Sus scrofa: one gene and its partners. The protein of the gene in region 3 binds, or shares a complex with, the protein of the main gene of each other region. Links are inferred from orthologs where the notes say so. Each region holds a gene or a part of one and is shown on either strand. Other genes may lie near its edges. The genes, in order: PA2G4, DDX5, ARVCF and SRSF1.

Region 1 (7,786 bases), on a different chromosome or scaffold from region 3:
GGCCTCACTCAGGGGGTTAAGGATCCAGCACTGTCGTGAGCTGTGGTGTAGGTCGCAGACGAGGCGTGCATCTGACGTGGCTGTGGCTGTGGCTGTGGTGAAGGCTGGTGGCTACAGCTCTGATTCAATCCTTAGCCTGGGAATCTCCATATGTTGTGGGTGCAGCCCTAAAAAGACAATACAACAACAAAAAAATACAGTTCTCATTGGTTTTCCATTTCATAGCCCTACAACCTAGAAATCACATTTGTGTACCATTTTACAAAGCGCTTTCACGAAGATGGTCTACTTAGACAACAATCCTGGAAGATGAACAGAGCAGGTCTCTATCACAACCTAGAGGAAACTGATGTTCAGAAAGGCTAAATGACTTGCCCAGGGTTCAACCAGTTAACTGAAAGAATCTGGTATAAACCTAGGTTTTCTGACAATAGTCCGGTGGTTAGTCCATTAGGCATGGCATTTTAACCTACCTAGCTCTTATTTTCCCCTTCTTATCTCTTTCAAATATGATCTGATCCTCACCTAAACTACCATTCAAAAGAAAAGTAAATTATCAATCACAGCTATTATTAAACTATACGCCAGATACTGTGATAATCACTTTATGTGGATCATCTCAGTACTCACAACCCTGTGAGAATGAGGGATAAGTTAAATTTTTTCCATTTTACAGACAGATGAGGAAATAATGTGTAAAATCATAGCTAACACAACATTCACTATGTGGAAGGCACCGTTCAAAGTGCTCTATAACAGCTCTATGAATTAGGTATCAATATAGGAAAGCTACAACAGAGATTTAAGTTCAAATGATGCAATTAAGTAACAATGGGGACAAATCGATGAAAAGTACCAAAAACAAACAAGAGCATAGAAAAGGAGCAACAAAAAGAGAAAAAAAGAAAGAGGATGCTCTAAGTATTAAATAGGTCTCTGGAAGCGTAAGTGTTAGAGAAACGTCTCCACTGGTAACACACCAAATTCATGAGAAGGGTGATCCCTGAGCTTCCTAATATTGTCACGCGAGGGCCTCCGGCCTCTCTTTGCCACTGGTTTATTGATACTATCATGAATCTTGTTTTATGAGCTTCTAAAATTGAGTTTCTACATATGTTTTATTGTATGCTATCAATCTCGAATTATTTGGGGGAAAGATGCACAACCAAAACATGAAAAGAGAAGGATCTCTATGGGCTCCATGAGGAAGGGGCCACATATCCCCTTACACCCAGCATGAAACCATGCATCCATCTAAGGCAGGCACTCAGAGTTAAATTGTTTGGTATTAAGCTCTTTGTTCCTGCCTCTTCTCTTTTAGAAATCCCAACCTAAAATGTAGCTGATTTTAAAAAAAGTTGTTGGGGAGTTCCCATCGTGGTGCAGCAGAAATGAATCCAACTAGGAACCATGAAGTTGTGGGTTTGGTCCCTGGCCTCGTTCAGTGGATTGAGGATCCGGTGTTGCTGTGAGCTGTGGCATAGGCCGGCGGCTAAAGCTCCGATTGGACCCCTAGCCTGGGAATATATAAACTCCATATGCCACGGATGCGGCCCTAAAAAGCAAAAAAAAAAGTTTGTTTTAGAAGGAGGCTGTAAGAGAAGTTGGCAGTTCAATACAGAATAGCTACATGCAGATGCCTCATGCACCCCTGGCTCTATCAGCCTTTGGAATTGGACTAAAACAGCTTACCTGGTTTCCAGGTTTAACAAGGCGTAGGGCAGCCTCAGCACAAAGGTGAGCTGCCTTAATGACATCTGCTTTCCGCCCTGTTACTTGGGTTCCCTGTAGATAAGGAAATGCAGTCAGTGCCTTCCTGGACCAGTCTTTAACTCAGCTGGTCATTCAGGTAATATCTATGTACCCTTACGTAAGGGCAGCCAGTGGTCAGGAGAGAAGCAGTTCACTTACCAGAGCTACATCAACCACAAAAGTGTGAGCCACATTAGCGATGAAGCCATCCACGTGGACCCCAAGGTCACTGAAAGACAAGAGCAGAGAAGAGCATTAGCAACCGGCACTACTGTGAATGCTTAGGACAAAGACAAGTGCTCTGAAATGGCTTAAGCTTACATTTTTACCAAGTCACCTTCCTTGAGAATATAGTCCTGGTCGCTCTTCAAAGGGGAGAAGTGACATACACAGTTATTTACTGAAATGCTGGTGGGAAAGGCAATACCTGTAAAGAGACAATCAGCCTTATTGCCTTGCGTGCTCTCTTAGAGGCCTGCTGCCCCTCAGAAAGATGAAAGAATTTTCATCAGGGTCTTGCCTAAGTTTAATCAGTTTGGATTAGATGGGAAACTGCTTGAATCCCCCTTATCATTCCAAATATCTCAACCAGTGCTGGAGCTGGGGGTGCATCATTATAATAAAACAAACAGGACTGAATAAGGGTCAAATGCAGGAAATTAGTGGGGGATTATTTTTACCTTTCTTCATTTCTTTTTCTTTCTTGAAAATTTTCCCTGTCTCTTCCATTATCATGGCATCCCCTTTCTCGCACAGGCTCAGTACCGACACACCTGAACAGGAAGCTTCCACCAAAGACCGAAGTACCCCTGGGAACAGAATCCCATTGGATCAGTCCTGCAAGTGTTGTCTAAGTTACCATCTAAGCAATACCTCAAAGCTAAACATTTCCTGGTGCCATTGCTTTAAGGATGAAAGAGAGAACAAGTTGTGCCTCTTGGGAGTTCCCATGGTGGCGCAGTGGTTAACGAATCCGACTAGGAACCATGAGGTTGCGGGTTCGATCCCTGCCCTTGCTCAGTGGGCTAAGGATCTGGCGTTGCCGTGAGCTGCGGTGTAGGTTGCAGACGCAGCTCGGATCCCACATTGCTGTAGCCCTGGTGTAGGCCGGTCGGTGGCTACAGCTCTGATTCGACCCCTAGCCTGGGAATCTCCATATGCCGAGGGAGTGGCCCTGGAAAAGGCAAAAAGACAAAAAAAAAAAAAAAAAAAAAAAAAAGTTGTGCCTCTTGGAATGTACTTACCTATCCATCTCTAAATTGCTACCTTCCTTTCCTAAAAAGAGCCAACACTTCCTTATACATTGTGACAACTGGTGACACTGTATGCACTGTCTGTCTCCCTAGGCAAGGCAGACTTTCCCAAGATGATAGCTGAGGTGTGCAGGACAGAGTCATGAACTTCAAGGAGGTTCTCAGCAAGGTATCCAACACACTGGCAAAGCAGACTGGGGGAAATTTATAGGCGTCAGGGACAACAGGAGGGCAGACATAGAATTGCTGACCCGAAGCTGATGCATTGTTAAATGCTACCTTCTTCCCTTCCCAGACACCCCAATTAAGTGTTAGTAATCTCAATATGTAGACTTATTTCTTTATATAACAAGTCAAGGAGACTTAACCTAAGGTCTCTGGGCTTCAGCAAGCTTGGGCTTATAGCTTTTAGCAGATCTCAATGAGGTATGTGACCCAAAAGAGTTTCCAACTGGTATCTGGAATCCCAAGTGCCTCAGAAGTTATAAACTGCAAGAGGAAAAAAAAGTTTTTCTGTTTTCAAACCACTAAATGTCCATTATGTTATAAAGCATTGTTCTGTTCACTGGATATCCTCTCCAAGGCCCAAAGTGAACTATAGGTTTGATTTTTGTGATCCAAGTTTTGGGGATTTTTTGGAAGTTTGAAAAACTCAGGTTTTTAGCCATAGGATCAAAGGCATCCTAAATACCTATCTTTACTGTCAAAACCATTTAAAAGCCCAAAGACAAGCATCTTCTGTCCCCTAACTGGGTTTTAAATCGCAAAGAGAGAAAAGAGAAAGTGAGACATCTGCCTAGAGTGGCAGGCAGCTGCTGAGAAGTCTGAGCGAGCCCCCATAAGGATAACTTCCGAGATCCTATAAAGTCAGTCTCCCCTTTACCAGTGCTCTACACAGGTTTGCCTGGTTGGGGTGAAAAGAACCTCAAAACACTCCTAGAGCTGTCAAACCCCTGAGAGCAATCAAATTTGACAACTAACTAAAGCTATCTGCGCAGATTGGAGATGATAACTTCAAGAACAACCAGATACGTCTCCAAGAGTTATGTTAGGGGTTCTCCAGGGGTACCCTCCAACGGTCCCTGAGCTGGCCCAAGAGTAGAAGGCGGCCCCCTCCAGGGAGGGAGCTGAAGTAAAGAACGAAAGACTACAGCAAAGCACGTGGTAGGGAAGCTAGTGTCAGGGACTGTAGCGGAGGAAGGGAGCCGGCGATCCGCTGGGGACCCGGCAACACGTGCCGGCTAGGCTCCTGACGGCGGGGAGCAGCGACAAAATAGAGGAGCGTTTCGTTTCCGAGGTGGCCTCCCTGCTGCCAAAATCAGAGGCAGAGATCCAGACAGAAGGATGAAGAGCAGGACATACGCCCTGCCTCCTTACCAAGGGCCTAGGGTCGGAGCCAGCCGGGGCCCCGCTCTGCGCTCTTCCCTGCCACCCGCCTGCATCTTCACAGACTCCAGCCCAGGCCTAGCCGCTCAGGTCCCAAACGCGATAACGAGCCTTCCCACCACGCCAAACCCAGCAGACCCGCGGGGGGCCCTCACTAGCCCACTCTGCATGACCCCACCGCTCCAGCCCCTCACCGGCTCGTCAAGCACCGTCCCCCTTGCCTCTCCCTCCCAGCCTCGATCTCCGGACCCCCGAGGCCGCACTCACGGTTGGCGATGTCGCCCCCCATCTTATACTTGGTCACGACCAGGTCCTCGGCGATAGTCTGCTCCTGTTGCTCGTCCTCGCCCGACATCTTCCCACCACCACCACCGCAGCCTCGTTTCTCCTGAGCCGCTGCCTCTGTCGCCCTTCCCAACCACAGGCTGTGGCCAGAGCCCCTTCGATCCGCGAGGAGAGCGCGAGCAAAAGCGCGAGCAAGCTAGGGAGCGGGCGGGCGAGAGCGAGAAACTGCGAGCGCGCGGGCTGATGCGCAGGGCATGCTGGGACAACGAGTCCCTCCCGCCGCCAGCCTCTAGCTGCCCTCGCGGACTCGCGAACTACAATTCCCAGCCTGCCTTTCGCGCCCCTAAGCCAGGCCCTGGGGCCTTGCCCTCCGAGGGCCTCGCACGCCGGAATCGCCAAGCACGCTGGGAAGGGTCAGGCTCCGGCGGGAAGGCGGAGCCGTTGGAGAGCATGAGGGGAAGCGTGGTCTCTCCCGGAAAAACCATATCCACCAGGAGCGCTGAGCGAGAACCCGTAATAGAGGGAGGCGGGCTAAGGGAGAAGGGGGCGGAGCTACGGCGGGGACGTGGGTTTGGAGGCTGCGGGGCAGGGTGGAGCAGAGACGAGTGGGGGTGATTGTATCAAGGGCGGGGAGGCTGGGTACGCCCTTCCTCGGATCCCTGGAGCGGCAGGCGGACCGGCCTGGCCAGTCCGATCGTCCTCAGGTGCTGGGAGGGGCAGAGCGAGTGTGGAAGGAGACCCGGAGTGCGTGGAGCAGGGACTAACTGGGCACCAGATTTCTGTGGGATTATCCATGTACAGCCTTCCAAGTCTAGAGGCCGGCTCCCTCTGAAGATGGCACTATTGTTCCAACAACAGGCTTTGATGGCACCTAAGACGGACACTTTTTTTTAAAGTTGTGAAACGTTTGAGAGTTTCAGTATTCTACCTCTTGGGGCCTTTTCTAACTGCCCCAAACGTGTTTTGTTTGGTTGTTTTGTTACTCCCAGTTAGTCGGTTGCCCTATACAGATTCCTAGTAAAACGCTTAAATGAAAAGGACTGTACCCTTTGCTTGTCTAAAGAGACTATAAGGAAAGTGGGGCTGGAGAAAGCTACAGGGGGCCAAGTAGGACTGTGGGGAGACAGAGAAGGAAGCATGCCATGGTAGCCATTCTCTGCTGTGGAACGGAGAAAAGGGCTGATCTGTCCACTCACTAAAGTTTGTCGTTAGACAAGAAGCTGCAAAACCTTGGCATCTTTATTCAGACATGTATAAAAACAAAACAAAAACTTGAGGGATAAAAACAGATACTCCCAGTTTCCCATTCAAAGGAACTGAGGTCTGAAGCCGGGTCCTCTTTTTCATCTCCACTGGAAGCTTCCCACTACTGAATGAGAACTGCTCCTAAAAAATGGCTCTGGGGACCGTCTGAGTCTGTCCCTTAGGCAGATATCATATGTAGCACACGAAGATTACGGTTTACACAGAGATGTCCAGTTATTTTTCCTTCTGTCCACCCCCTTACTCCCACTTGCTGAGATGAGCAGTCCAGGTGTAGGAGGAGGCTGTGGATATTGGGGTTAGACTTGATTCAGTGCAAACACAAGAAGACAATACCTCTTACTAGTGCTCTGACTTTCATCAGTTTTCTTTGACACCTTACACTAAGAGCATGGTGCATTGGAAAATTTTGAATCCTGGACCTGCTACTTGATTTACTTAATCTCCTTAAGGCTCAGTTTCCTTATTTGTAAAATGGGATAATGCCTAGCTCACAGAATTGGTGTCAAGGATTAAGTGAGATGGGTAAGTTTAGATGATACTTGGCACACAGTCAACGTTCAATGAACAGTAATCATTACTATATACTCCCAACCTCTTTCTTCACAAGATTTTTAAGCATCTCATTCTTTCTAGGGGGTTAAGAATCATAAGCCAAAAATCTCACTTTCTCCTGCCATTTTCCCTCCTTTCCTCTTCCTTAAAAGTCTGCTGGGAAACAAAGTCACACTTTAAAGCCTAGTCTCAACAAGTCAGAGTCTGAGAGAAAGGGATATGGGGAGGAATCCTTCATATCTCCAGGGAGTTCCCCTGAGAAAGTTGAGGAATAGGATTGGGAAAGAGCACAAAATAAGGAAAACTATCTCCTTTCCTGGGATTGGGAAAGAGAAGAAAGTGCACAGCTGGCTATATACCACAAGAACGTTGTGTCAACACGTTTAAGGCCTCCAAAGTTTGAATGGAATTGTCTGGGACTAGGGAAATGGCGCTGAGACCTGTGAGGGAGAGGGGCTAAAGAGAAGAGGGGTACCCTCTAGAGGCACTAGCTGCCATCAAATGCTCCCTGAGGTATTCAGGAAGCAGAGGTTATGTTCTCTGGGCATTAGCCTTGGGGAAAAGCCTGCTATGCCAGTAATCCGGGTTATCAAAGGCGGAGTCAGTGGCTTCTAAACTACGTAGAGTTTTGAGGCGGGCATAATGGACCTGAGGGCCATGGTGTCCAGGCCCCTGGAAAGCTCTCATTTCTTCATACCCTTGCTCAGCTGCTGGGCAGGCCTCCATGGCTGCATAATCCCCCCCAGGACCCCCTCCACCACGTCGCCGATTCATATATTCATAGTCCTCATCTGGAGTTGTGCTGGCATTGGGCATGGTGGGCACAGGGTTGAGTGGGCAACTCTGTGTGCTGCCCAGGGAAGCACTGAGGTCTGATCCCACATCCATGTACTCATAACCCAGCTCCTCGAGGGAACTTGGCCTTGGGGGACGAGCTGGACTGCACCTTCTCCTCCGGTTCATGTATTCATACTCCTCATCTTCTTCTTCTTCCTCGGTCCCCAGGACAGAACTGAGACCGACTGAAGAAAGGGTGCCTTCCCGGGAGGAGGTACCTGGGGGGTTGAGAAGAGCAGCTAAGTATGTGGAGAACTCCATGGAAAGAGGCAATGGGGTTGGGGGCGGTTAGGAAAAAAATGAATAGGGAGGGATATGATGAACGAAGACAAAAGGATTAAGGGGAGCCTGCAGAAGGAGGAGTAGAGAAAGATTTGAGGAAGCGACTAGGGAGTCAGGCACCTTTGAGGTGTGCGTCTGGCATGACATAACCATTGACATCCTCTTCCTCTAAC
Region 2 (8,018 bases), on a different chromosome or scaffold from region 3:
GAGCAATAAAAACATTAGCATCACAATCTTCTAGTTCTCTAATCCTCAGGTGTATGTGACATTTCAAGAGAAGATTATTGGCAACAGTTACCCAATCTGTTGGGAAAGGAAGGGAAAAGATCAGCCTAACTGCAAAGAGTATATACGTTTATTTAAAAAACCTCACAAAAGCAGACATTGTATTCTACAGAAAATAAGAAATTCGATTGTTAGAGAATCTCAGACTGTCCTAGGCATGATTTTTTTTAAATGTATTTAATTTTTTGGGATGATTTACAAAATGCTATAATTTCAATGTTGTCGAAACTATCATGCAGGAATTCTCATTGTGGCTTGCTGGTAACAAACCTACCAGCATTCATGGGGACCTGGGTTCAATTCCTGGCCTCACTCAATGGATTAAGGATCCAGCATTGCCCTGAGCTGTGGTATAGGTTGGGGATGAGGCTCAGATGCTGTGTTGCTGTGGCTGTGGTGTAGGCCAGCAGCTGCTGCTCTGATTTGACCCCTACCAGGGAATGTCAATAAGCTACAGGTGCAGCTCTAAAAAGCAAAAAAAAAAAAAAAAGGCAAACAAAAAACCCACAAAACTATGATGCAAACTCAATTTTTACTGTTCCAAACTAAAATCTCAAATTACTCTACACCTTATTTTAGAAGCTATACGTAGATTTTTATTTAAAATATATTTACAAGAAGTCAGGAACATTATCTCATATACGAAAGGTCACCAGAAACTAATTAATAGATGTTGCTTCAAAATCCCAATAGCATTAGTCATGATGTTACCCAATTATCTTGCCCAAGTTGGAATTTCTCTGGTGCCCAAATAAGTGGTGATTAACTGAGGCTGTTAAGAACTGGAGTAATGACACCAACACTACTGCAGTTTTTAATTTTTTAAATTATATTTTGTGCACATGAAAAGAAATATGGTAAATACACAAAAACGTCTCTACATTCAAAATTAGCACATTACCAATACTGCTGAAGTTTCCTGCTGTCACCCTCCCTACCCTAGATACTGATAAGATGAGCAAAGTTATTTCAAGAGTTTGTCGGCCAAAGGAAACTTAGAAAAACCTGAAACAATTTGCAATTGACGGGAACGTTCTTTTATTCTGTGTGCGTTCTCTTAAGTATGTTCTAGAAACAAGTGCGAGTTTCCGTGTGAAAGCGTCTTCAAGGCATGTTATCTCCCTCTCCCAAAGTTCAGTACTCACAGCTGACCAAACCATGACAACAGGTTTGAACGCTGTCTTGGAGAAAAGGATGAAAGCGTCCTAGACAACCAAATCAATTCGCCTTTCAAAAGCGGTACTAGACAAAGCGAATGAGTCTAGAGATCACAGAAGAGTGAAGTCCACCACGGTTCTGCTATTGGCCGGGGGCATCAACAGATCTTAAAGAGGGCCGGTCCTCCAATGTTCAAATAAAGATGCAGGTACTAGCTACCTCAGTCCTCGCAATGCAAGAACTGCAGGCACAGTGAGTGGGTGGATTCCCCAGAAAAATACGAGTCCGGGGAAGCTACGCGACTGCCCTTTTCGCAGCCAGGTTGCGTGCGCTACGGGCCTCACCGCAAGGGCCCTTCTAACCCACCCCCAAAACCGCACCCCACAACCCGGAAAGAGCCAGGGAGCGGGGATGAGACCCTACCCAGAGAGCCCGCCAACTATCACGGGGTGTCACCAGCCCCGCCGGCCGCCCAAACCCGCCCGAGGCCTCAAGGTAAAAGTGGCAGGGACGTTAGGGGATTTAGAGAGGACGACTTCGTCCACACACACCGGAGCGACAGGCCGAGACTCACCAGCCTCTGAGCCGGCCATGTCGAGAAGGCAGGCCGCTGTCGGACTCTTGGCCCGGTGCGCGCGGGACGGAGCTCAGGGAGGGCCGCACGCCGCAGACCCAGTGCTGACAGGAGGGGGAAGCAAACGAAAGTGCCGGGAAGGAGGGATTAAAAAGGGAGGGACGTTAAAACCGCTTCTCGTTGCTGATTGGTCACCACAGGACCACTTCCTTTCGCAGCACGCGCTGGGGCGGCGGTTTGCGAGCTCTAAATACCATTCTCCGCCGACCAGATCCCGCTAAGGAGTTCTCAGGTGGGTGGGTTTAACAGCCCCGCGGGTCAACCAGCCGACCTGGCCGGTCTCCCCGGGCAATAGCACTGCACTTCCGGCGAGCGATTTCGTTTTGTACTCCTCCGCCGACGCCATCTGGAAAAGTAGTGCGGCCCGCTCACCCGGTGGGCGGGGGGGGAGTCACGTGACAATGTCAGGCTCCGCCTACCCGTCTCGCCGGGTTGTGGGCGTGAGGGCCCTTTGGAGACGTAAACATTTCCAAGAGAACCAAGTGGCTTGGTCTGGGTGGGCCATTTCATTGTTCGTGCTGGACCTGAAAAAGGGCGGGGCGACTTCCTTGAAGTGTGGAAGACAAGGAAAAGGTGAAGTCAAGAGAGTAAAAACTGAGGCTTCCCAGTAGTGGGTGGATGGACCCACCCTTGAAAGGAGTGAAAAACGGGAGGGATGGTTTGGGTGGGGGGAGGAGAAGGAGGGGCGAGAACATGGCGGATTTCGGAACGCCCGCGGGCGGTGCGGCCTCGGCGCAGGGGCGGGGTGATTAGGTCATAGAGCAGCTCCCAGCGTTCTCTGCGGCGGAGGAGGCGGTCCAGGCTATAAAACCGGCTGCCGGGACGCGGCCGGCACCTCATTCATTTCCACCGGTCTCTTGTCGGGCAGCTTGGGCTCCTGTCATCGCCGTCCCTCCGCCGCTGCCGCCCCCGCAAGGCTTCGCCGTCGTCGAAGCCACCTCCAGCGACTTGTCGCACCCGATTCTCTGTGCTTTGTTTCCCGCCAACCGCAACCATTGACGCCATGTCGAGTTATTCAAGTGACCGAGACCGCGGCCGGGATCGAGGGTGAGTGTGGGAACTGACCTGTCAGGCCCTGTGGGTGGGGGATGGGATGCCGATGCGGGGGGGCGGGGTGGCGACGGGAATTCGGCTTCCTCAGCCTATGTTTGGGCCTCGTCCCTCAAAGGCTTGCGCCATTTTGATATTTTTGAAACTGCCTGGGAGTTTCATGTTAATGGTTCTCGAGATCTCTTCTTTTGTCTGGGATGGGGCATCGCGGCCTCGATGATTTATCAGCTCTTGGGAGAATTCCAAGGAGCGTATTTCGAAGGGAGGGGAGCGCAGCGCTTCGAGGCGGACGAAATCGCTGCTGTTAGGTGCAACCTTTCGGAAGGTGTTTTGGGGGCCCCAGGAATTTTGTGGGTGGCGAGGGGGCCGTCTCCGATGCCGTTATTGCGGCGGGGGCAGGACGGTGACCGGCACCGCGGGAATCGGCCATGTGGCTGAGCCGCGGGTACAAAATGCCGGCATCGGACATGGCGGCGGCGCCTTTGTTACCCCGCCCGGCGGAGGAGCTCAAAATGGCAGCGTCGAGAAAATGTGGCGCAGAGAGAAATGCGAGACAAAGGGGGAAGCGCCGCCCCAGCGGGAACGCCGCCCGGCCGACTCCGCCCGGCAGGGACTCCTCCCCCGGTAGTCTCCAACGCCTCCTTTTCTTTTTCCTTACGTTTATATAATTTTGCTACCTTGATCGCGGTCCTTTCTGGGGCATCTCTCCAAGTCATTCGGCTTGCGTAAGTGTCCGCGAGATAACCCACCTTTTTCTGCTCTGTGTGCTGTTCCGTTATCTATTAAAATCAAAGCTCCTTTGCTTGAGAACAGCTGGTAGATAACATCGCTGTTAGGCTTATCCTTTCTTGTCTTTCTCTCAGATATTTAGTTTTTAAGTTCATGGGAGAGATTAGTAGCCCCAACTATTGACGCTCCTTGTAATCTGAACTTCTGGCATTCGGGCAGCCACTTTCCGACCTGTGAAATCCCGGGCTGATGATTTGGGTTCAATGGCGTGTACTTGGTACAACGGGAAATGAAAAGGATGCGGTGCTAATTGTGGCTTTTGAGAGAATGACCGTCTGTTCCACCTGGAAGTCTTTGATATTTAGCATGTGCCAAGGGGTGGTTAATATGTCTGTACGTGTTCGAAGATGTGACTTTTTAATTTCAGGTTTGGTGCGCCTCGATTTGGAGGAAGTAGGGCAGGGCCCTTATCTGGAAAGAAGTTTGGAAACCCTGGGGAGAAACTGGTTAAAAAGAAGTGGAATCTTGATGAGCTGCCCAAATTTGAGAAGAATTTTTATCAAGAACACCCTGATTTGGCTAGGCGAACAGCAGTAAGTAATTTCATGTGGTTTCTTCAGGCTGTAATTCAATAATTAATAACTTTGCAGTGAATCAAAATCTGACTAGAAGTTCCCTGCACATAACTAAGTTTTGGGGAACTCATGCTGAGTAAGTAAGGATCTTACTTACTTTGGGGAAGAGGAGTTACTACTCACTTTTGGAGACAAGTGACTTTTTCTACTTAAAATGGTTGGGTGTAACGTAATAAGTGGTTTTTGTTTGTTTAGGGTTTTTATATGGATCCAAATTTTAAAAGGCCATCTTAAAGTAGTTAAGTCAATTATGAATTTAGGAGCTTATTGGTTGCATTTTCAGTTAAGGGGAGTTGTCATGAGAAGACAACTGGATTTTTGTAATTTGTTTTGTAGCAAGAGGTAGAGACATACAGAAGAAGCAAGGAAATTACAGTTAGAGGTCACAACTGCCCAAAGCCAGTTCTGAATTTTTATGAAGCAAACTTTCCTGGTAAGTGCTAGTTTTCCCTACCTTAAAAAAAAATTCTTTCTCTCGGCATTTCTAATTTTAACTTACTTGTTTATGATTACAGCAAACGTAATGGATGTGATTGCGAGGCAGAACTTTACTGAACCCACTGCTATTCAAGCTCAGGGATGGCCTGTTGCTCTAAGTGGATTGGATATGGTTGGGGTAGCACAAACTGGATCTGGGAAAACATTATCTGTAAGTTGGGCAACTTGTAATTCTGTGTCGAGTGATTGAGGAAATGGGTTGGAAGTTAAAAGAAACCAGAAATATTTTAATGTGTAACTTCTGTTTGCCCCTTCTCTGAACAGTATTTGCTCCCTGCTATTGTCCACATCAATCATCAGCCATTCCTAGAGAGAGGTGATGGACCTATTGTAAGTATACCTTAAGCTTTGTTTAAAAGTACAGAGATTTGTCCAGTAGAAAGCAAATGACAATTTGTGGTGATTTTAAGTGGAGACGTTAGCTGTTTTGTACCATTTATCTGGAAACAAATCTGCTCTAGGTATTGGACAGCAAAATAAGTCATGTGCTGCTGTAACACTGATATATCATCACTTCAAAAGTAGACTCCGGAACTCTGCTGAAAGGTATTCATTCCACTTTCTCTTTTCTTAGTGCTTGGTGCTGGCACCAACTCGAGAACTGGCCCAACAGGTACAGCAAGTAGCTGCTGAATACTGTAGAGCGTGTCGCTTGAAGTCCACCTGCATCTACGGTGGTGCTCCTAAGGGACCACAGATACGTGATTTGGAGAGAGGTACAAAACAGAAAGTGTTTGATTTGTCACTGGTGGTGCTAAAATTCTAGATGTCTTGGTTACATTTTTGTGTTTAAAGGTGTGGAAATCTGTATCGCGACACCTGGAAGACTGATTGACTTTTTAGAATGTGGGAAAACCAATCTAAGACGGACCACCTACCTTGTCCTTGATGAAGCAGATAGAATGCTGGATATGGGATTCGAACCCCAAATAAGGAAAATTGTGGATCAGATAAGAGTAAGTACTCTTTAAATGTGTCTATCTTTTCAAACTTTGCTCTAAATTTATTCTTAGAATACAAGGCTTTTTCTTTATTCCAAAAATCTTTAGCCTGATAGGCAAACCCTCATGTGGAGTGCTACTTGGCCAAAAGAAGTAAGACAGCTCGCTGAAGATTTCCTGAAAGACTATATTCATATAAACATTGGTGCACTAGAACTGAGTGCAAATCACAACATTCTTCAGATTGTGGATGTGTGTCATGATGTGGAAAAGGATGAAAAGTAAGTCAGTCTTAATAACTCTAAAAACAACTTTATTGTACAAATTGAGTCATGCATTTATAGGTTACCTTAAACATGACTTTCAGTCATACTGGAATCTGGCTGTTGAAATTGGTCTATTCATTGTTCTGAAAATTGTTTTGCTTCCTTTGTTCATGTAATTGGTTGTCATCATGTTTCTATCATCTATAGAAAAAAAGATCTGTCTTAACAGGGGCAAGACCAAGGATAGACTGTTTATACGTTTAAGCAGGTGTTTGACTTGTAGCCATATGAGTTGAAGTTAGTGTTTTGCTGACTATAACTTAGAATTCACAATTTTTTGTTTCTTTAAAGACTTATTCGCCTAATGGAAGAGATCATGAGTGAGAAGGAAAATAAAACCATTGTTTTTGTTGAAACCAAAAGAAGATGTGATGAACTTACTAGGAAAATGAGGAGAGATGGGTATGTGGGCTTCCTCCATTGAAGCAGATGTATTAATAAGAGCTGAGTTTAGGGGGAGGGCAGAAACTTTAGTAACGTTAGACTTGAGGTGGGTTGTTTTTTTGTTTTGGTTTTTTTTCCTTTTCTGTTTTGTTTTTTGTGTTTTTAGGGCTGCACCTGCAGCAGCATATGGAAGTTCCCAGGCTGGGGGTTGAACCCGAGCTGTAGCTGCTGGTTTACACCATAGCCACAGCAATGCAGGATCTGAGCTGTGTCTATGACTTAGACCACAGCTCATGGCATTGCCAGATTCTAACCCACTGAAAGAGTCCAGGGATTGAACCTGCGTCGTCATGGATTCTAATGCAGTTCATTACTCCTGAGCCATGAAGGGAGCTCCTGATGGATTTTGACTTTCATCAATGGGGATAATCTGATGGTATAAATGAGAGCGTAGATACATTATTTGAAATTAAAAGGATCTTTGACCAAAAATGTTTATGTGCTTAATTAAATTCTGACAGTTAGACTTTGATGTTTAAATGTGAGTGTATTAATACAACTTCTCTTTAATTTAGGTGGCCTGCCATGGGTATCCATGGTGACAAAAGTCAACAGGAACGTGACTGGGTTCTAAATGGTAAGTATTTCAAGTGAAAGGTTCCCCACCACCACCAGAACCTAAATTCCATTTTGGTCAGTTATTTTCGTGTGTGTGTGTGTGTGTGTGTGTGTGTATATATATATATATATATATATATATATATATACTTTTTTTTTTTTTTTGGCAGAATTCAAACATGGAAAAGCTCCTATTCTGATTGCTACAGATGTGGCCTCCAGAGGGCTAGGTTAGTACAAACTCGAATTCATGGCTTGGTTTCCCAGAAGATCTCCATTAATTTTTTAAAGAAAGTTTATTGCTTTCTTTAACCTCTGCATTTTTTCCAAGTTTTTTTCATATAAAGGTGCAGTCTTTGTGGCAAGGCCTAGGCATGACAATCGGAGGACTCGAGGGGGATGGAGGACTAGTGATCGGCTGGCTGCTTCCAGTCGATTAGAGAGGTGAAAAGCTGAAAGTGTGCCAGTAATCTTCAAAAGGCAGAACATACCACCTCTGCCCCGTAAACTGTTCTCTCCGGGGGAAAAAAATGGAAGTTATCCTCACAGTTCACTGCCGTGGTATTTCTTCTGTCCCATGCTTTGCATGACTGCCATGGTACAGCATTGTTGCAAACTGTTTACTGTGATCTGTGGGTCTTTGAGTTTCAGTGAGTTTGCTGAAATGTCGAAGAAATAGTTCCAAACTTCAATGTTCAATGAAATTTTTGTTCCAAGTTTGAAATGGAGAGAGCAGCTTTAAAAGGTACTAAGCCTTTTACAAATTGGTGAGTACTGGCACATAAGATCCTAGAGCAGGGACAACTTCTCACACCTAGTCAGTGGGAAAAGAAAGCAGTGCTTTGAAAGTTCCTCCCTCACCTACACAGTAGTCGTCATGTCGAGACCTGCCAGAGAGAGACACATTCTCAAGTGAATCCTGGCTTCTTGGAAGCGCTTGCCTAGACGAGACACAGTGCATAAAAAC
Region 3 (6,879 bases):
CTCCAAGCCACGGGATGCTGAGTGGACAACTGTCTTCAAGAACACGTCGGGCTGCTTGAGGTGTGCGTGGGGCCAGGCCCATGCTCCACTCGCGGCCCCCAGGGCTGTTCACAGCCAAGGAGGCAGGAGCCAGGCCCCAGAGACTGTCCACCTGGGGACTGCTGTTCCTGGGGCAGCTGCGTCCTCGTGTCCAGGGAAACATGGAAGACAGCCATCCAGGCCTCAGCGTCAGAGCCACATTACAGTTCCCTGAGCCCCTAGTTTGGGCCTGATGGGCAGTGCTCAGCCAAGGGCAACCCCTGAACAGTGTCTGGCCTCCTGTGTACCCCCAGCTCCAGCTCTACCCAGTTTCTTCCCTGTCACCATCCCAGCCAGGGGGAGGCTAGGATCCTCACCTCCAGTCTGATGTGGAGGGCTCATCTCACCTCCACATGACCTGTGCTCTCCCCTCCCATCCTTGAGGCCCTGCAGAGACCTCACAAGCAATCCTGGGTCCCCATAGTCCTGCCTGCCTTTTTGGATACCACCCCACGACCCTGTGTGGTCCCAGTCTTGGGCAAGGAGGAGCCCTAAGCTGCCACTGGGGCAGGGGGAGTTAGGGGAGCCCGCCACCGCCCCCCCCCAGATGCCAGGCCAGGGCCCCTTCTGCAGCCTCAGCAGTGGTCAGGCCATTGCCTCCCCTCATCCACTGCCAGACTGCTGTAATTCACCAATAACCTTAACAGTGTGGCATCAGCATGTTCTGCAGATAAAACAAGACCCCAAAGCTGGGTGGGTGCCAGGGGCGTCTGGTAGGAGCCGGAGTCACAGGGCTTGCTCTTGATCACCCAGGAATGTAAGCTCAGACGGTGCAGAGGCGCGGCGGCGGCTCCGAGAGTGTGAGGGGCTGGTGGACGCACTGCTGCACGCCCTGCAGTCGGCTGTGGGCAGGAAGGACACAGACAACAAGGTGGGCAGCAGGGTGGCCCAGCAGGCCCCAGGCGGGCTCAGCCTCTCAACCTCCCACAAAGGGTGGGGAAGCGGAGTGGGAGCCCTAAGCTATCTGGGCGGCACAGAGGGGAATGGGTGTGTGGGTTTGGGGCAGCGCCCTGGGAGTGGGCACCTCGCAGTGGCCACACTGTGAGGCCTGGGACAGGGTCCTATGCCCAGTAGGTGCTCCCCTCACCCCCTTCCGGGGGTTATCACCTGACTGGGCCCCTAACTCAGGCTTCCCATTCTCTACATCTGCGGGCCCTTGTGTTCTCACTGGTTGTGTTCAGTCTTCCCTGGGGGCCAGCAGCCCCGTGCCGCCCGGCCCTGCCCCAGCAGCCCCCTCTCCCCGCAGTCGGTGGAGAACTGCGTGTGCATCGTGCGGAACCTGTCTTACCACGTGCACAAGGAGGTGCCTGGGGCCGACAGGTACCAGGAGGCCGAGCCTGGGCCCCCAGGTGGTGCTGTGGGCTCCCAGCGCCGGAGGAGGGATGACGCCGGCTGCTTTGGTGGCAAGAAGGCCAAAGGTGTGTGGGTGGGACTGGGGTGCCACTCTAGGACCCCCCAACCCCAGCACGCTGAAGGCTCTTCACACCCATGTGTGTGAGAGTCATGGTCTGGGAGCCAAGGAAGGGGTGCTGTCCCGGGGCCCCAGCTGCAGGCCACACTGCCTCCATCTGCACTGGTGTCTGGACACAGGCCCTCAGCTTTCCCAGCTTGGAAGGTACCAGGACGGTGCCACCTCCTGGTGCTGGCAGAGCACCTGAAGGCCCTGAGAGCTGTCCCAACCCCTGATGCCAACTCCACCACGGGAGCAGCTGCCAGTGCTCCCCAGCAGCTTGGGGGAAGGGGTGTCTGTGCACCACCTTCACCTATGCTCACTCCCCTCCCCGCCTTTCCTGATCCCTGTCCCACTGTGTGCACTTGGCCCTCAAAAGTAACCAGGGTGAGATTCCCTGTGCCCAGTGCCTTCCGGGAGGGCGTGGGGTGCTGCTCGCTCAGGTTCCTCTCCTCTCTCCTGTGCTTCCCCGGCTGCCCAGAAGAATGGTTCCATCAAGGTAAGTCCCTGTTGGTCCTGCCCTGCAGGCCTGATGGGCACAGTGGGCACCAGGGACCCCCCTGTTGTTCAGGCAGCCATCTCCATGACAACTGCAGCACCTTCCAGTGTTAGGAAAGCCCCATCCATCATGGTCCCTTCTCTGGGCAGCTGTCTCCATGACAACTGCCTGGACACGACAATGGCAGGAATGTCAGCCCTGGACTGGTTGGGAGGCTGAGTGGCTGGGCTGGGCCTGGAGCAGGAGCCCAGGGTGGACAGGACCTGGGTGTGTCCATCCCCAGGGGCGCCAGGGATTTGAGTCTGTCCCTCTGATGGTTTGGGGGGTGTGGCTCAGGCCCCAGGAGGTGGGGTGGGGCCCTTGATCATCCAAATTCAGCTCTGCCACCCAAGGAAGGGGAGGTCCATTATCTCAGAGGCTGGAAGGTGGTGAGCTGGCTCTCACAGAAGTATGCAGGCCAGTGTGACAGGTGTTAGGAGTTGCTGCTGCAGGGGCCTGAGGTGGGGGGCTTGCCTTGCCCCCAGCTCAACTTCACTGTGTGACCAGGAGTGTCCTGACCCTCCAAGCCCTTAGCTTCCCTGTCTGCACCTCCCAGTCCCAGCCTGGTCTTCTGAGCCCCTCAGTTCATGTACGTGGTGGCCATGGAGTGACCATTGGCAGGGTCTGCAGTGCAGCCCCCAGCTTCTGATGAGGGATGAGTCCTGGTTGCTCAGGCAGGGCTGGGGGCAAGGCAAGCCCCCAGGGCCCACTCCCATCCCTGGGCTTCCCTGCTGGCCTGAACTCAGAGGAGTGCTCTGTTCTAAGGGCCTCCAGGGCCCAGTCTTGAACATGGGGGCACTTCTGGGTCCTGAGTTGGAAAGTCTGTACTCACCTTTCCTGACACAGCTGCTCCATGTGGGGTCCCCTCACCTCTCACTGCCCTTCCGTTCCAGGGAAGAGGGATGGTGAGGTGGACCATAACTTTGACACCTTGGACCTACCCAAGAGGACTGAGGCTGCCAAAGGTGAGTGGGGGGAAGTGGAGTCCATGAGTTAAGCTTTGTGCCCCCAAGCAGGCCTGCAGGGCTGCCGAGATTCTGTGGGGAAACAGGCCCAGTGGTATGGGGTTCCCTGGAAAACACCCTGGTCACCAGCTGAGGGCTCAGAATCAGGGTCTCTGCACAGGTCACTTACAGCAGGATGTGGGGGCTGGGTCCCGTAGCACATGAGAGGCTGGCGGGGGTCCCATTGAAGGGTTGGGCTACCCGGGCAGGGTCTCCCCTGCAAGCTGAGTTCAGACTCACTCTGAGGGGTTCAGAGCCTAAGGGTACAGTCAGATTCATCCTTCTTGCCCTGTCTGTTGGAGTCATACTGTGTGTGGCAGTGTTCTGGGAATCCTGCCTGAGAGGTGTGCCTCTTGAGCCCAGATGTCCCCAAGCAGGGTAGAAGGACCCAGCCAAGGGAGCATCACAGGCTATGGGACCAGCTCATGCAAATGCCCTGGGGGTGCAGGGTGCAGTATGTGCTTGGAGCATCTGGTGAATAGGAAGCTGGAGTGCAAGGGGCATGGGATATGAGGACTGGGAGGTGGTGGCATGGGGGTGGGAGAAGGTGATGTCCCATGACACAGCCCCAGTATGGAGATAGGTTTGGATGGCTGTCCCACCCTCATCCCTGGAGTACCACTGCCAGGCTGAGGCCTCAGTGAAGAGTGACCAGGAGTGGTTGAGCATCTCTGATGTGGAGCCCCCCATAACCATATATGTAGGGGTGTTGCTAGGGAGTTGAGACCTGTTCCTAGGGGAGCCGCCTGGCTGCTGCTTCCCTCCCCACCCTAGGCTGCCTGCAGGCTCCAGCTGCCAGCCAGGTCCCATTTCTTTGGCAGTGGAGTCAGAGGAAGAGTGACCTCCCCCAAACTTACTGCTGCCTCAGAGCCTCTCTTGATACCCATGTGAAATGGGAAAGCTTTTCCTCCTGGGTGGCCATAGGGGTGAATATGTTGGTGCTAAATACTCTCTGATAGGGGGTGGGGGGCTGACTGACGGTGGGGTGCGGGTGGTCTGCGCCCAGGCTTTGAGCTGCTGTACCAGCCCGAGGTGGTGCGTCTCTACCTGTCCCTCCTGACGGAGAGCCGGAACTTCAACACCCTGGAGGCTGCAGCCGGTGCCCTGCAGAACCTCAGCGCTGGCAACTGGGTGGTGAGAGGCCGGGCCTGGCAGGGAGGGGCAGAGGGAATCCCAGGAGGCTTCCGGGTGAAGGCGGGCGCACAGCACGGCTTTGTCCGGCGAGGGAGAAGGACTGTTAGCTGGAGGTAGCGGCCAGGGCTCAGGTAGGCAAGTGTCCGCATGCGGCGCGGCCGCGCTGAGCACACCCCCGCTGCCCCACCGCAGTGGGCCACGTACATCCGCGCCACGGTGCGCAAGGAGCGCGGGCTGCCAGTGCTGGTGGAGCTGCTGCAGTCGGACACTGACAAGGTGGTGCGCGCCGTTGCTATCGCCCTGCGCAACCTCTCGCTGGACCGGCGCAACAAGGACCTCATCGGTGAGGACAGGGACTGGAGTCTAGGGTCCGGACCCCCTCCGTACTCCTCGCGCCCCCCTCCCGCCTGCACTGGCGCGCCCTCACCGCCCTGCCCGCAGGGAGCTACGCCATGGCAGAGCTGGTGCGAAATGTGCGCAGCGCGCAGGCCCCTGCGCTGCCGGGAGCCCGCCTGGAGGAGGACACAGTGGTGGCCGTGCTCAACACCATTCACGAAATCGTGTCCGACAGTCTGGATAACGCGCGCTCGCTGCTGCAGGCCCGTGGTGTGCCCGCGCTCGTGGCACTGGGCTCGGCCAGGTGGGTAGGGGAGTGGCGGGGGTCAGGGCTGGTCCCCCAGATAGGCGGGGCGGGGCCAGACGCTGACCCCGCCCCGGTCGCAGCCAATCCGCGCGGGAGGCGAAGGCCGCGTCCCACGTGCTGCAGACCGTGTGGAGTTACAAGGAGCTGCGTGGTGCCCTGCAGAGGGATGGCTGGACCAAGGCGCGCTTCCAGGTGAGGCCGCTGGCCCTTCCTCTCTCATTTTGCCCGGATGGGTCCCTCACGGGAGCACCGCTGACCCACTCTGTTTATGTATTACACCACTGCAGTCGACCGCTGCTAATGCTAAGGGGCCCAAGGCAGCTCCGAGCCCCGGAGGCTTGGACGACAGCACGCTGCCGCTGGTGGATAAGAGCCTCGGTGAGCACCGGGCAGGGCCCATCCCCAGGTTCAGGAGTACCTGCCCACCTGGCAGAGGCAGGGAGGGAAGTGGGTCCCCTCCAGGAAGATGGCCCCGCCCCCGCCCCTCCCCCTCCCGTCCTCCATTCTCTCTATGATGGCATCAAGCTGGGGGTAACAGTGCCAGCAGACAGAGGCCTAGCAGAGTGGTGTAAAGATGTTAGTGATAAAAGGTACCCAGGGTGGCAGAGGCCACCGGTAGTCCCCCACTTGCAACCAACCAGCCACCTGCCTGTGCTTTGCAGATGGTGGCGAGAAGCCAGGCAGCCGGGACATGATCCCCATGGAGGCACTTAGTTCGGGTGAGTGCAGGTGCTGGTGTGCTGTTTGTTTACCACGTGGCAAGGTGGGTTTGGAAAAGAGATCTGGTTTAGAGGTGCTCAGGAGTGAGGGCTGGGGCAGCCAGTTATGGTCACTGCCCAGATGTGCCCAGTCAGCCAGCTGAAGGGCGGCTGGAGAGTTCTGAGCCACTGTGGGGGAGTAAGCGAGAGGCTTCAAGGCCCCACTGTGAGAAGGCCTGATTCAGAGTGGGCAGTTGGAGGGCCTCTCCAGATGCACCCAGGCCCAGGGCCCCTTGCACCAGGACATTGGTTTCTTGGTGCCTGCTCCAGAGTTCCCTTCCTGCCTACACCCTGCAGATGGGTACTCCACCGTTGACCGGAGGGAGCGGAGAGCTCGAGGCAGTGACCCTACAGGGGAGGCCTCTGAAAAGGAACCGTTGAAAGTAAGTGGCTGTGGGCAGGTGTCCAGGGATTGCCTTGGGCCCGGGGTGGGACTCACTTGCAGGCCGGCCACTGGGCCAAGAGACTGGTTCAGGGAGTGGCCCTTCTGTCTCAGCAACCTCCCATTGGAGCCAGCCTGCGGGTGCAAGTGGTTGGAAGCTCATAGCCACTGGGAGAGAGGAGGCACAGGACAGAGGGCTGTTGGGGGAGCCTGAGCAAGCGTGTCTGCATCCCTCCCTGCATGCGTGTGCGTGCGATGGCCTGCATGGCCTCGCCTCCAGGGCAGCCCTTGATGCCTGCTCTGCGCCAATGCTTTGGGCACAGGACTCTTCTCAGCCACACTCACTCAGCAGCTCTGAGCCACACTTGCTCAGCTCCCTTTGCCCCCAGCCCTGCCCACTGACCACTCAGCCCCCACCAGCCAGCCCTGACTAACCTGCCTTGTTCTGCTTCTAATGCTCTCCTGCCCACTGCCTGTCTGCTGCAGCCCAACCCCACCAGGAAGGTTCCTCCTCTGGGGCCCAGCAGGCCCGCGGTCAGGCTGGTGGACGCCGTGGGGGATGCTAAGCCTCAGCCCGTTGACTCCTGGGTCTAGTTTGCATGCCGGGTACGTTTGTCTGACCTCCACCCACCCGACCTTGCCTATCCAGGCAGGACCTCACCTCGCTGGCTGTCTGCTCTATTCTCCCCGCGCGCTCCCCGCAGGCTGGCCTTGAGCTCAGCGGTCCTGTAAAGCCACGGGAGGGATGAAGGGCCAGAGTCTAAGAGGGAGGAGCTATCGGGTCCCGGAGGGCATGGGGCCAGATGGGGCAGGGGGTGGGGTCCCTCCACACCTTCGAACGCCCCAAGCACGGTCCCATCCTCGAGGACCTGCAAGTTGGGGGGCAGCTGCC
Region 4 (8,021 bases), on a different chromosome or scaffold from region 3:
CATAAAGTGTTGAAAATAAGGCAGCTTCTGAGAACTAAAAGGGTAAAATCCATACTTAATAAATTAGCTGGTTGTGGGAGCAATCTATAAAACTGTCTGTGGATGTGTAACTGAGAAGTTTAGAAACACTCCAAGGCTCCAATTAAGATGAGGATATAATCTCAGGAGCCAAAACCGAAGTGGTTACAATCAGGTTAGCAGAAATCAATTCAACTGTCTAGCAACTGTTTAGAGAAAGAAGATAAGACTACAGAAAGGGAATTGCCAATCTTGACCCAGTATTATTCAGGGAACAGAGAGACAAAATCCAGAGGGTGTGATCCTGTTGAGGGGCAGGGATCATTTATCAGGTCTCACCAAGACCTGAATCAACTCTCTCTCAAAACAACTCACTTCCTTTTCTTTTGATTCCTCACCAAGACCTGAATCAACTCTCTCTCAAAACAATTCACTTCCTTTTCTTTTGATTCCTCATTTACTAAGAAACTGCCTGATTTGCTTTCTAGACCTGCCAAAAGTTTTCTTGGTAGGTACAATCTGAATATCCTGGTTATCAAAAATGAATTGCCTAGGAGTTCCTATCATGGGGCAGTGGAAATGAATCCGACTAAGAACCATGAGGTTGCGGGTTGGATCCCTGGCCTCACTCAGTGGGTTACGGGTCCAGCGTTGCCTTAAGCTGTGGTATAGGTCCCAGACACAGCTCGGATCTGGCGCTGCTGTGACTCTGGCATAGGCCAGGGGCAACAGCTCCAACGAGACTCCTAGCCTGGGAACCAGCCCCAAAAAAGACAAAAAAAAAAAAAAGAAAAAGAAAAAGAACTGCCTCACCCCGCCCCCAGCCCCAAACAAATGAACAAATGGTTTGGATATTTGTTGTCTTGCTTTTTACTCTTGTGGACCAAAACATGCCAGTCTGGGACACTGACAGTAGAAGATCACACCCTTAAATGTAATCATTTTCAGCTAATGTCATCCTAGGAGATCTGATAAACAGCCGCCCAGACTTTTCCTGCTAGCTCCTGACCTTGTCATAGACCCTAGAACCTATAATTTGGTGACATTCAAATAAAATAAGAGAAGCTGATAGAGAAATAAGAATGTCCTATTCACTGTATACTAAATTCTACCCGCATACCTGAACAAAATCAGAAATGGCTGCATTAAATTGGACAAGAATAAATCGAAGCAAATTCATAGTTTTCTTATTTTTCTGGAATGAAGATGCCTTGAAATTATAAGCACTTATGTTTAAACTACTTTGGTTTATCAACTTAATATTAATCAACAGAAGACAAATCTGAATAACAACAAGTGAATGGAGAAAGTTAGAACAGAAAGAAACTGTGCTCAGTAAACCTACTGAATGTAAGAACCAACACATTGTACACCTGCAATTAAAAAAAAAAAAACCTCTCATCTCTTCTGCTACTAACCAAATAGGACTAAATAAATTTGTTGAAATAGTGTCCCTTTTAGTCAGCTTCTCATTTTAAAAATTATCAGTGTCTTCTTTTAAATTGAAAGTTTGGTTTAAAAATATATCATTGAGGAGTTCCTGTTGTAGCTCAGCAGGTTAAGAATCCGACTTGGGAGTTCCTGTCGTGGCACAGTGGTTAACGAATCCGACTAGGAACTATGAGGTTGCGGGTTCGGTAGCTGCCCTTGCTCAGTGGGTTAAGGATCCGGCGTTGCCGTGAGCTGTGGTGTAGGTTGCAGACGCGGCTCGGATCCCGAGTTGCTGTGGCTCTGGCATAGGCCAGTGGCTACAGCTCCGATTCGACCCCTAGCCTGGGAACCTCCATACGCTGTGGGAGCGGCCCAAGAAACAGCAAAAAGACAAAAAAAAAAAAAAAAAAAAAAGAATCCGACTAGTATCCATGAGGAGGCGAGTTCGATCCCCAACCTTGCTCAGTGGGTTAAGGACCCAGCGTTGCCGCAAGCTGTGGCATAGGTCACAGATGCAGCTCAGATCCTGCATTGCTGTGGCTGTGGTGTAGGCTGGCAGCTGCAGCTCTGATTTTAACCCTAGCCTGGAATCTTCCACATGCCGCAGGAAGAAAAAAAATATCTATCATTGGAGGATGATCTAAAAGACAAAAAAACTGTGCGATACCCAGTTTTGAAAACCATCAGATTTCAAGGACTACTACTAAAGATCTTCTGTGAATCTGTTGAGCAGCAAATTAAATTTGCATTTTGGGATTACTGAGAACACTGTTAAAATACATGCAATCGCCTTTTAGAACTGAAAACATGACCTTCTGAAAAATCTTTTTAAGGCACTTTGGATCTTGAATATACTGTTTCCTTCTTTACTGTGACTGCCATGATGACTAGGGTCAAATTTGTAATCCATCTTTAGAACTCACAAATTTTTACTGCAGCCATTTTGTGTATTAACTTTATCCATGACTTCATTTTAATTTCCCCTTATATTCTCCGTGATTTCTCCATTCAATTGCAATAACGTTTTCTGGTATCTCTGTAAACAGCATCACATCACTGGGGAGAGGGATTGATGCGAATAAATAAAAATGAAGAAAATCATCCTCTCAATCAGGGTGCAGACCTGTTTCAGCATATTTATGACAGGGTTTTTTTTTTAATTTGAATTCACCATTAATATTTTAAAATCCCAGTATTTCATATAAAAATCCAGATTTCAGATGGCTCCGTGGCAAAATGTAACAAGTTCTTATCTCCCTGGACCAACATGCTGGCGAGATGAGTCCTTAAGCCGCCACTTCGGTCTCCAGTGGTCACAGAAATCCTCACACATCCACTTTGCTCATTCATATTACCTGAGAGATTTGCTAATGAGTTCCAAAAAAGGAAGGAACGTCAGGATTCTGCAATACAAACAGGAGGGCGCGCGTCTTTTTCGTTCTTTGAAAGACGTTGTAGAAATAACAGACACAATTCATTCTGCAAACCTTCACTGGACCTCTCCGCTGCGCTGGGCCCTGGCGATAGGTGATTTAAAAAAGAAGCAGAGGTCTGGGTCCTGGTTGGCTGATGCCGCCAGGAATTACCGCCACGAGCACAAGGAGCGTTGAACTGAGGTCAGTTCTGAACCGAAGGTGGAACGGTACTTAGCGTAGAATATTTATTAAAGCGTCTCAGCCAGGTTCCCCTGCATTAGACAGTCGTCCAAGCAGTCCACGGCCCGTTCGCAGATGGGGCGGGAAGACAAAGTCACGTCTCGGCTCCGCGTTGATTCACCCGCAACGCGACTCCTGAACGAGGTGCACTCTCCAAGGATGCCCGTGTTTCCGGAGCAACCGCCTGGTCCCTCCCCCTTTGACTCCGCCCCCGGCAGTCTTTCCCGCCAAAGGCCGTTAACAGCGCAGAGCATGGTGGGACCTAGCTTTAGGCTAGGTTTCACCAAATACTTTCAAGACGCCGTTTTTTTGAGAGAAACATTCCTGAGGAAACTGCTGATTCTTTAGGATTCGACAGAGATTAATAACCCCTTTTACGAGAGCTCTATATTTAATTTTGCCACAAGGCTGGTCACTCCCTTATTAAACCCCTCGACAAATCGGGAAGGCGGGAACTTTTTTCCCTTCGCGCGGAGGGTGACGTCGCGCTTGCGCGAGCGTCACTCTCGCAGCACCCGTTACGCTCTTGCGCGTGCGTAGTGAGATCGAATAGCTGCTTCCTCCCGCTTCTCTTCCTCCCTCCCCCCCATATCCGTGCGCCGAGCTGATAAAGGCGCCATTTTGGAGGGGCCGCGGGAGACGTGGTGTCGCTGCGGGCTCGCTCTCCCGCTCGCTAGGCTTGGTGGGAAGGCCTGTTCTCGAGTCCGCGCTTTTCGTCGCCGCCATGTCGGGAGGTGGTGTGATCCGTGGCCCGGCAGGGAACAACGATTGCCGCATCTACGTGGGTAACTTACCTCCAGACATCCGAACCAAGGACATTGAGGACGTGTTCTACAAATACGGTGCTATCCGCGACATCGACCTGAAGAATCGCCGCGGAGGACCGCCCTTCGCCTTCGTTGAGTTCGAGGACCCGCGGTGAGGCGGCCAGGGGCTTGCGGCCTTGAGGAAATAGGTTGGAGTAGTTGGGGAAGGCTCCGGGGCCTTCACTTGGGGAATGGGGCGGTGGGTTCTTGGGTTGGGGGCCAGACGATATCGCCCATGCAGGAGTCGAGTAAGGAGCCGAGTCGGCGTGGCTCCTCTGGTGGCCGGGCCCCACGGACGTCCCTAGAGCCGACTCGCAGGCTCGGAGCGGGAAACTGAGGCGCCGAGGGCTGCTGGAGTGGTCGGGAGCCTGGCGTGCTTCTGGGTGGGGGAGGGGCCGTTCCTATTATGCGGCGCATGTGGGCTCTTCCACCCCGGTGCGCATGTGCGGGGGCCCGCTCGCTCCCCGGCGGAGTGAGCCGCCCCTCCTGGCCCTTTTTTTTTTTTTTTCTTCTTTTCCTTACCCCTTGGCTTTCTCTGGTCACGCAGAGACGCAGAAGACGCGGTGTATGGTCGCGACGGCTATGATTACGATGGATACCGTCTGCGGGTGGAGTTTCCTCGAAGCGGCCGTGGTACCGGCCGAGGCGGCGGCGGGGGTGGTGGCGGCGGGGCTCCCCGAGGGCGCTATGGCCCCCCATCCAGGCGTTCTGAAAACAGAGTGGTTGTCTCTGGTGAGTTGGCGGGTCCGTGCGGATTGATGATAAGGGGACCGCACACCGTTTTGAAGTTTTTCTTGGTGTTTTCATGCCAGGTCTTCACTTAAACCGGAGTGCCTTGGGTGACTTTAGTTAACAAGGACTACTCTATTTGAGACTTAGCGAATTAGGTTGCAGTACCTAGAAGATAAGAAGAGCCTTAACTTTACAAATAATTTTGGACTCTTGATTCCGAACTCTTTTAACAGCTCGTTAAACGGGATGTTAAAGACCGTTGGTTTTAAGTCTTGTTTTAATGTAACCTTTATGTTTAATGTGAAACTTAGGATAATTGGTATTGAAAGAAAACGCACTTTTTCAGGACTGCCTCCAAGTGGAAGCTGGCAGGATTTGAAGGATCACATGCGTGAAGCAGGTGATGTATGTTATGCTGATGTTTACCGAGATGGCACTGGTGTCGTGGAGTTTGTACGGAAAGAAGATATGACCTATGCAGTTCGAAAACTGGATAACACTAAGTTTAGATCTCATGAGGTAGGTTATATTCTTTTCCTTGGCCAGAATTGGATACAGTGGTCTTAACAGTGGAATTTGAAGGTAAGATTCAGGCAAGGGTGTCCAAGTAAAAACCCAGTAAAGTGCCAGATTTCTGGTTTGAGTTACGTTGATTCATTCAGCATGCCTGAAGACAGGTGAAAGCTTAGATCTTTCAATCGAAAGTTCTGTCTATCCAATAGGGAGAAACTGCCTACATCCGGGTTAAAGTTGATGGGCCCAGAAGTCCAAGTTATGGAAGATCTCGATCTCGAAGCCGTAGTCGTAGCAGAAGCCGTAGCAGAAGCAACAGCAGGAGTCGCAGTTATTCCCCAAGGAGAAGCAGAGGATCACCACGCTATTCTCCCCGTCATAGCAGATCTCGCTCTCGTACATAAGATGATTGGTGACACTTTTTTGTAGAACCCATGTTGTATACAGTTTTCCTTTATTCAGTACAATCTTTTCATTTTTTAATTCAAAACTGTTTTTGTTCAGAGTGGGCTAAAGTGTTGAATTGCATTCTTGTGTAATATCCCCTTGCTCCTAACATCTACATTCCCCTCATGTCTGATAAATTGTATTTTAAGTGATGTCATAGACAGGATTGTTTAAATTTAGTTAACTCTCCATGCTCTTCAGACTGTGATACTGTGTAAATGTCTATTCTGCTCTGGTTTGTGTGAACTGGGATGTTGGGGGTGTTGGTGGTTATCTTACCTGGGGAAGTTCTTATGTTTATCTTGCTTTTCATGTGTCTTTCTGTAGACATATCTGAAGAGATGGATTAAGAATGCTTTGGATTAAGGATTGTGGAGCACATTTCAATCATTTTAGGATTGTCAAAAGGAGGATTGAGGAGGATCAGATCAATAATGGAGGCAATGGTATGACTCCAAGTGCTATTGTCACAGATGAAATTGGCAGTATTGACCTTATACTAAAAGGCAAGGGTTTAAAGTGATTATATACATCTATCTTAAAACACTTGAAAACATTTTATGCAGTTATATTTGGCTACAATTGCTTTACTCTTTAAAACTCTGGCAATTGTGGCAAAATTACATGGCCCATTTTGTAACAATTTGTTTTGCTCCCTTCCCTTTTTTGTTTTATTAGGGACTAATGTGGGAAGAACTGATTAATTTGTCACAGTGCTTAGTTACAACTGTTAATGTGTGACCTGCTGTTGGTGTACTTGTGGGTACAGGGTGTCTTTAATTCCAACCAGATAGAGTATAATATCAATACTGCTAAATCTGCATGTCCTCTGTGTGACTGATATAATAGCGTTGCTACTTCATTTTTTTAAGACAAAATGAAAGCAAAATAATAGAATTCCAATTTATTGGTGTAGATAATCTAGTTGGGAATACTTTTTAAGTCTCACGTTCCCCTTTAATATTCATAATTGACTCATGTTTAAAACACTTTAATTTACAAATTAAATTGCAGTTGGGAGCATTAGATTTAGTTTAGACTTAGGTGGGTAGCAATACCAGTAAACTTTTAAACTACATAACTTTTTGCAACCACAAAACCTGTAATACGCTGTACAGTAACAAGTGTTGGCATTATCAGTTGAACTGTAAATATAAAATGCTTCTTCCAGTTAGTCTCTATGATGATTAAGTTTCTAAAATTTATCTGAACACCATTCAGAAACTTGTTTTGGGGAATTTGATAGTTATTGATGTACATCTGTTAAACTGATGACAGACATAACTCATCATTCCCCAGAAACCTTTTTTGATTACAGTATCTAACATTTTGCCTCCTCTTTTTTGGTTTTGCTGGTTATAAAGGTTTGGATTGGAGAGGGCTCACTGGATCCCAATCCTTGGAGCTGGATCATTGGATTCAAATCATAATGTGGATAGGATAGGGAGGATGAATTACAAGGATTCATGGAGCGGGATCAGATTACCAGGAACATAGGAGTGGATTCCTGCCCCAACCAAACCGCATTCGTGTGGATTTTTTTTTTTTTTTTTTTTTTATTCAACTTAATTGGCTATTCCAAAGATTTTTTTTTTTTTCCTATTTTTGACGATTGGAGCCCTTAAGATGCACGATGGAATTGTGTTTTGCATTTTTGGTAAAAGGAGCAAAGCGAGGACCTGGAGATAAACGCTGGAGCAATCTCCTTGGAAGGATTCAGCACGAGTAGATGGTAAACATTTAAAGGGGAAAGGGGGGGTTTGTTTAAAATAGTAAATCAGTAAGTCACTTCTAAATTTAAAGAAAACAAAATTGGAGTTGAAGAATAAGTAGGTTTCCAATTGGCTATTGCCATTTTTCTTTGAAAAAAATAAACATTTTTTAAAAAACTATGCATGGTTGTCCTTTTTCCTCTTGTAAGATTTTTTTTTACTGAGTGACTTAACTAGTCTCACTTTAAATTTATAAGATACTGATTCTCGTGTTTATGTGTTAGTAAATTAAAGGTTCTTTGAAGTTTTCTAATAAATGCTATTAGCCACTGTTAATTCTTGTAAAAGTCTTCAGGGGACGATAAGGTGAGAATACACCAACTGTATGTAATGGTAACTGAGGGGGGGGTCATCTAGTCTCTGAAAAATAAGCTTCCAGTATTTTAATTAAAAAGTGATTAAGGAGTTCCCGTTGTGGCTCAGTGGTTAACAAATATGACTAGGAGCCATGAGGTTGCAGGTTCGATCCCTGGCCTCACTCAGTGGGTTAGGGATCCAGCATTGCTGTGATCTGTGGTGTAGTGTAGTTCACAGATGCGGCTCGGATCTGGTGTGGCTGTGGCATAGGCCGGTGGCTACAGCTCTGATTAGACCCCTAGCCTGGGAACCTCCATGTGCTGTGGGTGCAGCCCTAGAAAAGAAAAAAA

The links.
Region 1: ARVCF (region 3) and PA2G4 share a complex: the UniProt entries of both Homo sapiens proteins name them as parts of the ribonucleoprotein complex. The link is inferred for Sus scrofa from reciprocal best matches to the Homo sapiens genes ARVCF and PA2G4.
Region 2: ARVCF (region 3) and DDX5 share a complex: the UniProt entries of both Homo sapiens proteins name them as parts of the ribonucleoprotein complex. The link is inferred for Sus scrofa from reciprocal best matches to the Homo sapiens genes ARVCF and DDX5.
Region 4: ARVCF (region 3) and SRSF1 share a complex: the UniProt entries of both Homo sapiens proteins name them as parts of the ribonucleoprotein complex. The link is inferred for Sus scrofa from reciprocal best matches to the Homo sapiens genes ARVCF and SRSF1.

Annotation. Positions count from the first base shown.
Region 1 is NC_010447.5:21,493,152-21,500,937, reverse strand, and holds the start of PA2G4 (proliferation-associated protein 2G4), read right to left. Parts: upstream 4,942-7,786; 5' UTR 4,747-4,941; coding exon 4,659-4,746; intron 3,495-4,658; exon of another isoform or gene 3,374-3,494; intron 2,562-3,373; coding exon 2,433-2,561; intron 2,180-2,432; coding exon 2,074-2,179; intron 1,982-2,073; coding exon 1,912-1,981; intron 1,786-1,911; coding exon 1,693-1,785; intron 1-1,692. Other genes in the region: ERBB3 (receptor tyrosine-protein kinase erbB-3), read right to left, coding at 7,026-7,549, 7,734-7,786. UniProt on the Homo sapiens protein: May play a role in a ERBB3-regulated signal transduction pathway. Seems be involved in growth regulation. Acts a corepressor of the androgen receptor (AR) and is regulated by the ERBB3 ligand neuregulin-1/heregulin (HRG).
Region 2 is NC_010454.4:14,569,684-14,577,701, forward strand, and holds the start of DDX5 (probable ATP-dependent RNA helicase DDX5), read left to right. Parts: upstream 1-3,047; 5' UTR 3,048-3,466; coding exon 3,467-3,645; intron 3,646-4,076; coding exon 4,077-4,242; intron 4,243-4,620; coding exon 4,621-4,717; intron 4,718-4,799; coding exon 4,800-4,933; intron 4,934-5,046; coding exon 5,047-5,112; intron 5,113-5,356; coding exon 5,357-5,498; intron 5,499-5,577; coding exon 5,578-5,738; intron 5,739-5,831; coding exon 5,832-6,004; intron 6,005-6,340; coding exon 6,341-6,451; intron 6,452-7,008; coding exon 7,009-7,070; intron 7,071-7,221; coding exon 7,222-7,281; intron 7,282-8,018. Other genes in the region: CEP95 (centrosomal protein of 95 kDa), read right to left, coding at 1-96, 1,811-1,829. UniProt on the Homo sapiens protein: Involved in the alternative regulation of pre-mRNA splicing; its RNA helicase activity is necessary for increasing tau exon 10 inclusion and occurs in a RBM4-dependent manner. Binds to the tau pre-mRNA in the stem-loop region downstream of exon 10.
Region 3 is NC_010456.5:51,404,666-51,411,544, reverse strand, and holds part of ARVCF (armadillo repeat protein deleted in velo-cardio-facial syndrome), read left to right. Parts: coding exon 1-60; intron 61-831; coding exon 832-949; intron 950-1,324; coding exon 1,325-1,496; intron 1,497-2,009; coding exon 2,010-2,027; intron 2,028-2,959; coding exon 2,960-3,031; intron 3,032-4,076; coding exon 4,077-4,204; intron 4,205-4,396; coding exon 4,397-4,547; intron 4,548-4,645; coding exon 4,646-4,844; intron 4,845-4,927; coding exon 4,928-5,039; intron 5,040-5,134; coding exon 5,135-5,225; intron 5,226-5,509; coding exon 5,510-5,566; intron 5,567-5,902; coding exon 5,903-5,988; intron 5,989-6,473; coding exon 6,474-6,581; 3' UTR 6,582-6,593; intron 6,594-6,879. UniProt on the Homo sapiens protein: Contributes to the regulation of alternative splicing of pre-mRNAs.
Region 4 is NC_010454.4:34,277,836-34,285,856, reverse strand, and holds SRSF1 (serine/arginine-rich splicing factor 1), read left to right. Parts: upstream 1-3,738; 5' UTR 3,739-3,828; coding exon 3,829-4,022; exon of another isoform or gene 4,023-4,449; intron 4,450-4,457; coding exon 4,458-4,642; intron 4,643-4,988; coding exon 4,989-5,161; intron 5,162-5,364; coding exon 5,365-5,559; 3' UTR 5,560-7,492; downstream 7,493-8,021. UniProt on the Homo sapiens protein: Plays a role in preventing exon skipping, ensuring the accuracy of splicing and regulating alternative splicing.